Linked DNA regions of Caenorhabditis elegans. The protein of the gene in region 1 interacts with the protein of each later gene in a pairwise test. Each region holds a gene or a part of one and is shown in the gene's direction. Other genes may lie near its edges. The genes, in order: F46G10.1 and slfl-5.

The links.
Region 2: the proteins of F46G10.1 (region 1) and slfl-5 interact in a two-hybrid assay, tested with the Caenorhabditis elegans proteins (2 studies listed by BioGRID).

What each region holds. Positions count from the first base shown.
Region 1 is NC_003284.9:13,309,410-13,313,464, reverse strand, and holds F46G10.1 (BTB domain-containing protein), read left to right. Parts: upstream 1-1,709; 5' UTR 1,710-1,738; coding exon 1,739-1,810; intron 1,811-1,890; coding exon 1,891-1,949; intron 1,950-1,993; exon of another isoform or gene 1,994-2,000; coding exon 2,001-2,112; intron 2,113-2,334; coding exon 2,335-2,460; intron 2,461-2,997; coding exon 2,998-3,165; 3' UTR 3,166-3,238; downstream 3,239-4,055.
Region 2 is NC_003283.11:12,241,151-12,246,619, reverse strand, and holds slfl-5 (Tr-type G domain-containing protein), read left to right. Parts: upstream 1-1,575; 5' UTR 1,576-1,589; coding exon of another isoform or gene 1,590-1,619; 5' UTR 1,620-1,671; coding exon 1,672-1,733; intron 1,734-1,911; coding exon 1,912-2,311; intron 2,312-2,359; coding exon 2,360-2,590; intron 2,591-3,083; coding exon 3,084-3,839; intron 3,840-3,904; coding exon 3,905-4,019; intron 4,020-4,087; coding exon 4,088-4,290; 3' UTR 4,291-4,649; downstream 4,650-5,469. Other genes in the region: rad-50 (Zinc-hook domain-containing protein), read right to left, coding at 1-35, 964-974; ttr-22 (Transthyretin-like family protein), read right to left, coding at 4,708-4,973, 5,022-5,190.

The sequences.
Region 1 (4,055 bases):
AACGGTTCGGACGATTTTGAACGTATCGACCCAAAATGGGCCCAAATGAACGAATTTTGTAATGAAATTGCTCAAAAAATTTTCAAAAATGTTTTATGGCGGTTCAAAATTTCGAAAAAATGACACTGATTTTAGCCAAAATCTCGAATTTTGCCCATTTTTCCGTGTCACATCTGTCCGAAATTGCTTTTATCATCCTTTATTGCAAAAATCATCAAAATTGGTTAGCTATCGGCTTTAAATGTACCTTAATCAAGGAAATTAAATGAGATAAACTACCAATATATGCAATAAAGGGTGATAATTCCAAAAAAGCAATTTCGGACAGATGTGACACGGAAAAATGGGCAAAATTAGAGATTTTAGCTAAAATCAGCGTCATTTTTTCGAAATTTTGAACCGCCATAAAAAATTTATGAAAATTGTTTGAGCAGTTTCATTACGAAATTCGTTCATTTGGGCCCATTTTTGGCTTATACGTTCAAAATCGTCCGAACCGTTAGTCCTCCTTTAAACATAATTTCGAAATCAAATATTATTTTTGAAAAACATGAAAATGCCAATCAAAATCTCATATTGTTTCGTTTGGTGTACGGTAACTTTTATTTTTGTTGTTTCAATTTAGCAGCCTTGTTTTAATCAAGAAAATAACTCATGAAAACGTGAAATTAGTTATTCGCACTTCTCGTGCGAGATTAAACAAGTGACATTTTTGCAAATAAAAAATTATTTTCGAGATTAGATTTTCGGCCAGAAAAGTTTTACGGCGGTATAAAACATAATTTGATAGTGCTGCAGCCGCACATATTGTGAAGAAAATAACAAAAAAAAAACAAAATAATTGCCAGTGAAATATCAATTATAATTGACTTTCATTTGACTTTATGATCTGGAACATCTTGTTATCGTCATTGAGCTGCAAGCTACTCCTGAACAACTTTCGTAGTTCTGAAATTGCAGGATAAATTTTTTTTCAGTGAACATACATAGCAGACTGAGCTGTTGGCACGAAAACCGGCAACTGTCGATTTTTTTCCTACCGCTTGTTCAAAAACTGTGAAAAAAACAAAACTTTAAAAACAGAATGGCGCCAGTTAGAATAAGCATACAAGTGCAAAAATTACTATTCAAAAAATGAAAGGTTGTGTTATTTTGAGAGTAGTCAAGTGGTGAATGAATACTTCAATTAAATTTTGAAATTATACGCAAATCATGCGACGGCACTGACCAATCAGCGTTACGTAAAGGAGACGACATACTTCGGTGATTGGTTGGCGGTTTCCTGAATAACACGTGTTTCAAAATTACATTGACATATTTACGGTTTGTCCAAATTCGTAAAATTGGCACTCTTGATCATATTTCTTTGCCTGTTTTTTTTGGCATTTTTCAGAGCGAGCTTCAAAAAAAACTATTCAAATTTTGCCACGCTTTTAATATTATTCACTTTTTCATTTAAATTTTAGATCAATTATAAATGGTTATTATTGAGTGATAACAATATACTTTTTCTAAACACGAATAAGATTTTTTTTTCGAAAATAGGTACCTTTATATGTTTCAAAAGTGTTGAATCACACGTGTTGCCAATCTGAAAATGGGATGGTATCTTCTTATTGACACAAGGTGAATTCAAAAATTTTCCTAACGTCACTGATAACACAACCGACCATTGAGTTTTATTACCTCGATTTTCACTTGCTCGCGTTTTTCACAGGACACGCAGGTTTGACTAATAATGCTAGCTAGAGCTTCTCTTCATTCAAATGGTGTGGATATGCATACCGCTGAGTATGCTGATTATAAAAAGGTGGGTCTTGAAATTGATTCAATTTTCTAATAAATTGTACAGCTAATGAGAAAATTGGAGTATTATAAAACTATGTTTAGGCTGAAGTCACATCTCATCATGCTCGAGACATAGTGCATATTAACGCAGGCGGCACAAGGTTAGTTGGGAATTGAGAACATGAGATCTGAGAATTTAACGAAGGCTTCAGATTTACTACACTTTACGACACTTTGGCACAGTCAAAGTCGTCATATTTCCTCAACTTTATCCGCATCGACCGCACCAGTGGAAAAATTGTGCTTCTTCAACAGAGAACTATTGTGGGTGACAATCTAGAAATAAATATACATACTAATGAGGATGCAGAATTTTTTAATTGGAGACTATTAGGTTATCTAGAAGCTAGCTGAAAGCCTAAATCCTACTGAAAAAACTTCCAACAATTTTTACTTGTGCTTTTTTCAGAATTATTTTTCTGAATTTCAAGAGAATGCTTTTAATCCTCATAGCTCTCTCTAAAAAAATTTCAATACAAATTTCAGCGTGATGAGTCAGGAGCAATCTTCGTGAACCGGGACGGGCGTCTGTTTGCATTCGTTCTGCAATTTATGAGAGACGGAAAGAACACTGTCCTGCCAAAAGATAAAGACGTGTTAGCACAGCTCAAAGTAGGTGTTTCATGTTTAATTTCATCGCCTTCTTAACCATGCGTTGTCATTGATAAGCACAGTTGCTTGTTTACTAGAGGTACACCGAGGTGTGCCTTGTGTTTTATGGGTATTTATGTGTTGGCGATTGTGTGTCACGAATATTGGTATACCTAATCAATTGGCATGGGTAGAGAAAATTAAGTTATACAATTTAGTCATGTGCAGTTACTATTTTATGATATTGTTAAGGAAAAACAATATGTTTTGAAAAATTGTTTTTTCCAGGAAATATCATTCAAAAATTAATTCAAAGTGCAATATGGAAAAAAAACCAACAAATACAAGATTAACACTAATGTCAACTATGTCAACAATCATAAAAAATAGAAACTATGAGATTTATGCAAAAAATGTGTAGCATACATAAGTGTGTATATTAAATGAATCTTGAAACACCAAATCAATTTATTGAAAACAATCACAACTTTTAATTTGAAAATAACTCCAATGATGTATGAATTGACAATACATATAAACTTCCCTTATTTTTTCCAGCGAGAAGCAGACTTCTTTGGCATGGAGGTATTCAAGTACCTAATTCAAGAGACACTTGTTGACATTGAAAAGGAACAACGTGCCAACACCAATGATATTGTGGATATTCGCAATTCGGTGAACCAAATTGCGAACAACACGTACTACAATAATGGAGGACGCATTTGAAGTTTACTTCCTCTTTCTGAATAACTTTGTTAATGACCATGAAATAACGGAAATAAAGTGCAAAATTGTGTGTACTTCTGAACGAACTTGTTGAATTTGGTGTTCGTTGAAAATTGACTTGGGGGATGGAGTAATCATATTCAAATTATTTTTAGTGATCCTTGTGAGAACATTTGAAACCAAAAAGATGTGCTTAAAATTCTGAACACTTTTAAATTAAGAAAAATCGGTAGAATCGAGTTATCGAAAATCAAAACGTCTTACTAAACTTCAATTACATTAGCCATAAAAAACTATAGAAAATATCGATTTTCAAAAACTAAATTATATTCAATCTTTTACAGATTTCTGAAAACCAAGTCAAAACTGATAAAAGATACAACTCGGAAAATTGCTCTAAATCAGCAATGTGGAGAAAAATATTTCGTTTAATATTTTTGATTGGGGGGGGGGACTTTATTGGTTGTCCTGAATCTCTCTCGAAAGTTAGTTTCCTCGCATAAATTAGTCTTGCGCTCTTAATTAGCATTGTTTCTGAGCAATTTTTTGTGTCTTGAAGCCTGCGTCGCTGCAGTTGCAACTGAAAACTAATACAGATGTTTTCGTGTACTGTTTATTTTTTGCCTGCAGTTAAAATAGATCTATTTACTTGTTTTGTGCAGACTTAAAAAAGTAACAATGTTCTGTTCAGTGTGCTCAATAGGTAAACAACTTTTTTTGAAAGTTTGTTGAAAGATACTTAAAAAATTCGAGCTCCATGTGAACATGCGCTATGAAACGTTATCTTGCCATGAATTAATCGTTATTATTATTAAAAATTCTTTTGATTTTTTTAAACTTTTGAAAACTATTAAAAATACATAAACATTTGCAAATATTTTGCAATAAAA
Region 2 (5,469 bases), on another chromosome or scaffold:
CCATAAGCAATTCCCAGGCTTCGATAAGCAAATATCTGAAACATTCTCATTTGCAAATAGGTTTATTCAAAGAAAAATGTTGCGAAATTAAATTAATATATTGATTCCGTTGGAAACTCTGGAAAAAGGACTAAGTAAAGTGAAATTCCTGAGTATTTTCAATTAATTCCTGTGTAAAGTGGGCCTTCTGCGTATTTTTAATTAATTTTTGCGTAAAGTTAAACTCTTGCATGAAGTAAAAAAACAGAAAAAAAACAATTTCGAAAACTGACAAAAAAACAGTTTCCGATTCAAAAATAGAGCGCAAAAACAAAATACGATGCTCCGAAGTTCCGCAAGCGCGTGTTGTTTAACCGAAAGAAGATTTCGATTTTTTCTTTTCCCTCTGCTTTTGATTTTGAGCTTCATATTAATTTCTTCATTCTGAAAATCACGAAAACTCGGTAAAAGCTTCCTGTTTATTTTAATTTTTGGCAATCATGAAATTTTTTTTCAAATTCTCACATGGTTAAAAAACATCAGTCAAACGATTGATAAGATATTTTCCGAACAACTGATAAACTCGTATTCTAGAAATCGTACAAACGGTTTTATTGTTGTTTATTTTGAACTGAACGTTTTTGTCTAAGGAAATGCATCATATTGCGTCACATCGAATGTTGTTCTTAAGAGTAAGGAAATATTTCGCAATTTTCTGCAACATTCTTTAACGGCTGTGTTCGGTCATTTTACTTGTATTTAGGGCTACTAACAGCCCCACTTGTATTATTATTATGATTTTACCTTTCGTTCCAGAAGGCTGAAATTTTAGAAATTCTGAGTAAGACTAACTTTTATGTTTTATTCCAATATATTTACTGTTTAAAAGTATCCTCCATTGTCACCTGGTATTTAGAATGATTATTAACCTGTCGAATGCACCTTCAAAGATCTCAATGCCCACCTACGTGTGAAAACACTTACTTCCTTCTCATTTCCGTCCGATCGTAATCAAAAAGAAACAGGTTTTCCTCTCTCTCATCATCTGTCTTCCAAGCTTCAACTTCAACCTTCCTTCAGTATCTTCTTATTCTTCCAGCTGTCCACTGCCAATCAGTAGGTTCATATTCCCGTAAAAAATCGCCATTTTGTCTGGTTTCTTTTGATTTGAACGCTTCTTTTCATCTCATTCCTCTCTTATTCTCTCATGTATTTGCTCAATCATTCAGCATGCTCACTGTGAAGCTTGTGTGTGCATAATTTCTTTTCATAGAATCGAGCGACGTGGAAATCGATATTTCTCACTGTTCCTTTTTTCAATATTGACAAATTTCCAGTTCAAAAGTCAACTTAACTTGTTGTTATGTTCCTCTCCGATTTTTTCTGTCTTATTTTCTTCTTTCGAAAACAACAGCGGCTCCCCTTTCCCACTTTTTTCTCTTCATACGTCAATTCTCTAAGTTCTCATATTTCTCTACAATCTCTACATGTTGACCGAACCAGTTAACAACTGACTTTTCAAAACCTCTCGAAACACGACATTTTTTTCTCAAGTACCCGAACCTCTCTCCCTATGATTAAAATTTGATGTTCCAGAATCGGAGAATCGAATGATAGATCGAATACGGCGTGAGCAGTAGTTATCCAACTGATTATCTCATTTCATAAAATAATAAACAACTCAATCTCACTATGGATTTTATGATTTCACATTTCTGCGATGAGCAGAATCATCAGCCACTTTACAAAACTAGGTGAGTACGATAAATATTGTGTGGTTAACATTTGAAAATTTTATTTCTAAAATCAAAATTCATTTATTTAAATTCCTTATAAAAAATAAATCAATTCTAAAACATTGATATAAAATCAATTCAATTTATTTAATGTCGCCAAATCATTTAAGGTAGTATATTATATTATTTTTTACAGACGACAATCAATATCGGACTCTAAAAATGGACCAACACTTCTCAGCTCTTCACTGCCAACTAACGATGAATGTTCCGACTCCGACACCGAAAACCGATTGCCACCTGAAACGGAGCTTGGAAATATTGAGTACAAAGCAAAATTAGTAAATCCAACGACATCTCGTATACAACATCTGATCACTCAAATGAAATGGCGTCTTCGTGAGGGTCAAGGAGAGGCTATTTATGAAATTGGCGTTGAGGATGGTGGAATAATGTCTGGATTAACAGACGAGGAACTGAATGATTCACTTCGGACCTTGAGAACGATGGCCCAAGCTCTTGGGGCGAGTATGGTTATTTTGACCGAGAAAGACGTTACTGTTAAGGGATCAAATTCACGGAGAACTGTAGTCGAGGTAATTATTATTGAGTCATATTTTATCTAAATGAAATTATTTTTCTAGGTACTTGTCCGAAAGGTTCCTGAAAGCCAGCAATTCATCGAAGTTCGTCTTGCTGTCGTTGGAGGATGCGATGTCGGAAAATCAACACTGTGTGGAGTGTTAACACAGGGTTGTCTGGACGACGGAAACGGAAAAGCAAGAATTGGAATATTCAGATTTCCACACGAAGTGCGAACAGGAAAAACCAGTTCTGTCTGTAATGATGTCATTGGCTTCGATAATCGTGGAAAGGTTAGAAATTTTTCGAAACATTCAGAATGGGTTAAAATATGCTTGAAAATATTTAAAAAAAAAAACAGTAAACTGATTAAATTGTAGATAATTTCTTTATTGAAAATTTTAAAGTTGGATCCTATTTATTAGGGTTTTTGATTTAAATAATTAAAAAAATGGACGGTAATACCGAATATAATTGTTTCAAAAAATCATAAAATTTTTATAATTTTTTCAATTTTGCAAAAATAAAAAAATAAAAATCTGTTTTTGAATTCCCGCCCAATTATCAAAAATAAAAATTTAAAAAGTTAGAAAGATTTTATAACTTTTAAAATCAATTAAAATCGATTATTACGGTCAATTTTTTTTTCATTCAAAACAAAATTTCAAAATGATTCTACTCCACTTTTGAATACAAAAACAATGAATTTAGAAAAATTTTATTTGAAAAACTTAAATTCGATTTTTTTAAATTTATTTATAAATATCTAATTTTTACTTTTTTCAGCTAGTCAATTATGCACAAAATAGTCTCGAAGAAATGGTGGAGAAGTCTTCAAAACTTGTAACACTTATCGATCTGGCTGGAGACGCAAAATATCAGAAAACGACAATTCATGGATTAACCGGATACACTCCTCATTTCGCTTGCCTTGTTGTAGCCGCCGATCGAGGAATCACGTGGGCCACTCGTGAACATCTTGGATTAATTGCCGCTTTAAACATTCCAATGTTTGTACTGATCACAAAAATGGATCTAGTCGATCGACAAGGACTTAAGAAAATCATCAAAGATGTTTCCAATCTTGTTGCGAAAGCAGGGATGACAGCTCGCGAGAAAAGAGTGAAAACTAAAAGAGACGCAGTGAAGGCGGCACAAGAACTCTGCGTTGGTAGTATCGTACCAGTTCTTGCTGTTAGTTCAGTGAGCGGAGAAGGTTTTCGTTGTCTCAGAACACTTCTCAATTGCCTTTCTACAGCTGGAACTGCAGAGTCACGTATTCAACTAGTTGGACTCCCAGCCTTTTTCACAATCGAGGAACTATATAATGTGCCTCATGTTGGACAAGTAGTTGGAGGAATGCTATCTGAAGGACAATTGCATGAAGGAGCAGATGTTCTTGTTGGACCCATGAAAGATGGAACTTTTGAAAAAATTACTGTCGGGTCGATTCGAAGAAGCCGGCAAGCCGTAGGATGTGTTAATCCTGGTGAAGCTGCATCGATATCCTTGAATCTTCCAGACGGTGTCAGTCTAAGAAGGGTAAGTATTTTTTTCCACAGAAAAATCATTCGAAATGTGAAACATATTGATTATTTTCATTAAAGGGAATGGTTCTTGCTGAAATCGATCATCAACCACCAGTTTGTTACGAATTCACTGCCAATCTTTTACTGCTGTGTCACTCGACGAAATACATATGCGAAGGATTTCAAGCCACAGGTGAGTACTTTTTCTCATTTCAACTTTCAGTTTTGATTTTTTCTGAAATAATTTATGAACTTTTTCAGTGTTTATCGGAAGTGTCTGTACAACTGCCATTATTACTCACATCGACGATGCAGACTGCATCCGTCCAGGAAAATGGGCTGTAGTTAAAATGTGTTTCGCCTATCAACCAGAAGTCATTCGTGAAGGATCACCAATTATTCTTCGTCAAGGAAAAACCAAAGGAATGGGAGAAGTATTAAAAGTATTTCCGTGCACCCAATGATAATTGTTAGTCTGAAAATCTCTAAATTTTACTGCCACCCCCCCCCCCCCCTCCCAATTATCTTGTATATTTTGTGTAGACCTCTTTTTTGTAGTCTTTTTTCACTCTCTCTCTCTTTGCCCTCTCCTCCTAGGTACCCGTGTGTTTACATTTTGCTCCGGGTTGATAATAGTTGTACATAGTTGAAATTGTACAATTCTGAATATTTGTTCACTAAGTGAACCTTTTTGTCTCCAAAAATACTCTAGATCCTCTTTTTTCTCTTCTTCCAGGTGCCCCCACTCATTCTATTCATTTTTTGTAGCATTTTTTGCGCTACTGCTTTTTTAGTTACAATTTTAAAAATGAACTGAATTCACTCTTCCTAGATGTCCCATTTCAATTATTCTAGAAACAAATTTATTAGGAAGTACACATTCAATGGATACAATCAGTGGTTTCTCCACTGAACTGATTAGCTAAGTTCAAAGTTCCAATATCATAATTATCAGTCGAGCTACTTCCAGATGCAACTGCATAATCAGGAATATTGATTGTCACTTTCTTTGAACATGGTCCATTGTAATTACAACTATGATATATATTCACTTTTGGATCCAATGTTAAAATATCTGTATATGTTCCAGAAACAGAAAATGTTCCATCAGATGAGGTGGTCGTCGAACCTAATTTCGAGTCATATACTGAAAAAATCAATTGTTTCAAAACAGTTCTTCCAAATAATAACTTACTCGTTCCATCGTCATACATCTTCACGAGAACTCCACTGGCTGGCTGTCCTTCACAAACCAATTTTCCCGTTACAGTAACACTTTGAGTGCTTCCGATAACATTGAGTAAAGCATCGGAGCAATGAATCAAAAAGAAAACAGAAAGAGCAATATATGTAATTGAAAACATTGTGAACACAAAATTCAGAGTGATTCTTGTAAGACATTTATATACTGTCTACAAGAAGTAAATAGAAACACAGTTCGAGTAAATATAGTCGTTACAAATTGTTACTTTGCTCACTGACTCAATAATTGTCACTTAAAATGAAATCATAGATCAACGACAAAGGATATAATTGGTTCTTTTTAGATAATTCTATTGTAAATATCAACTTTGTTCAACGACTAAAAGTCCATTTTAAATTTGGTGAAACGCCAATAGTAAAAACTTTTAAAATCACTATAT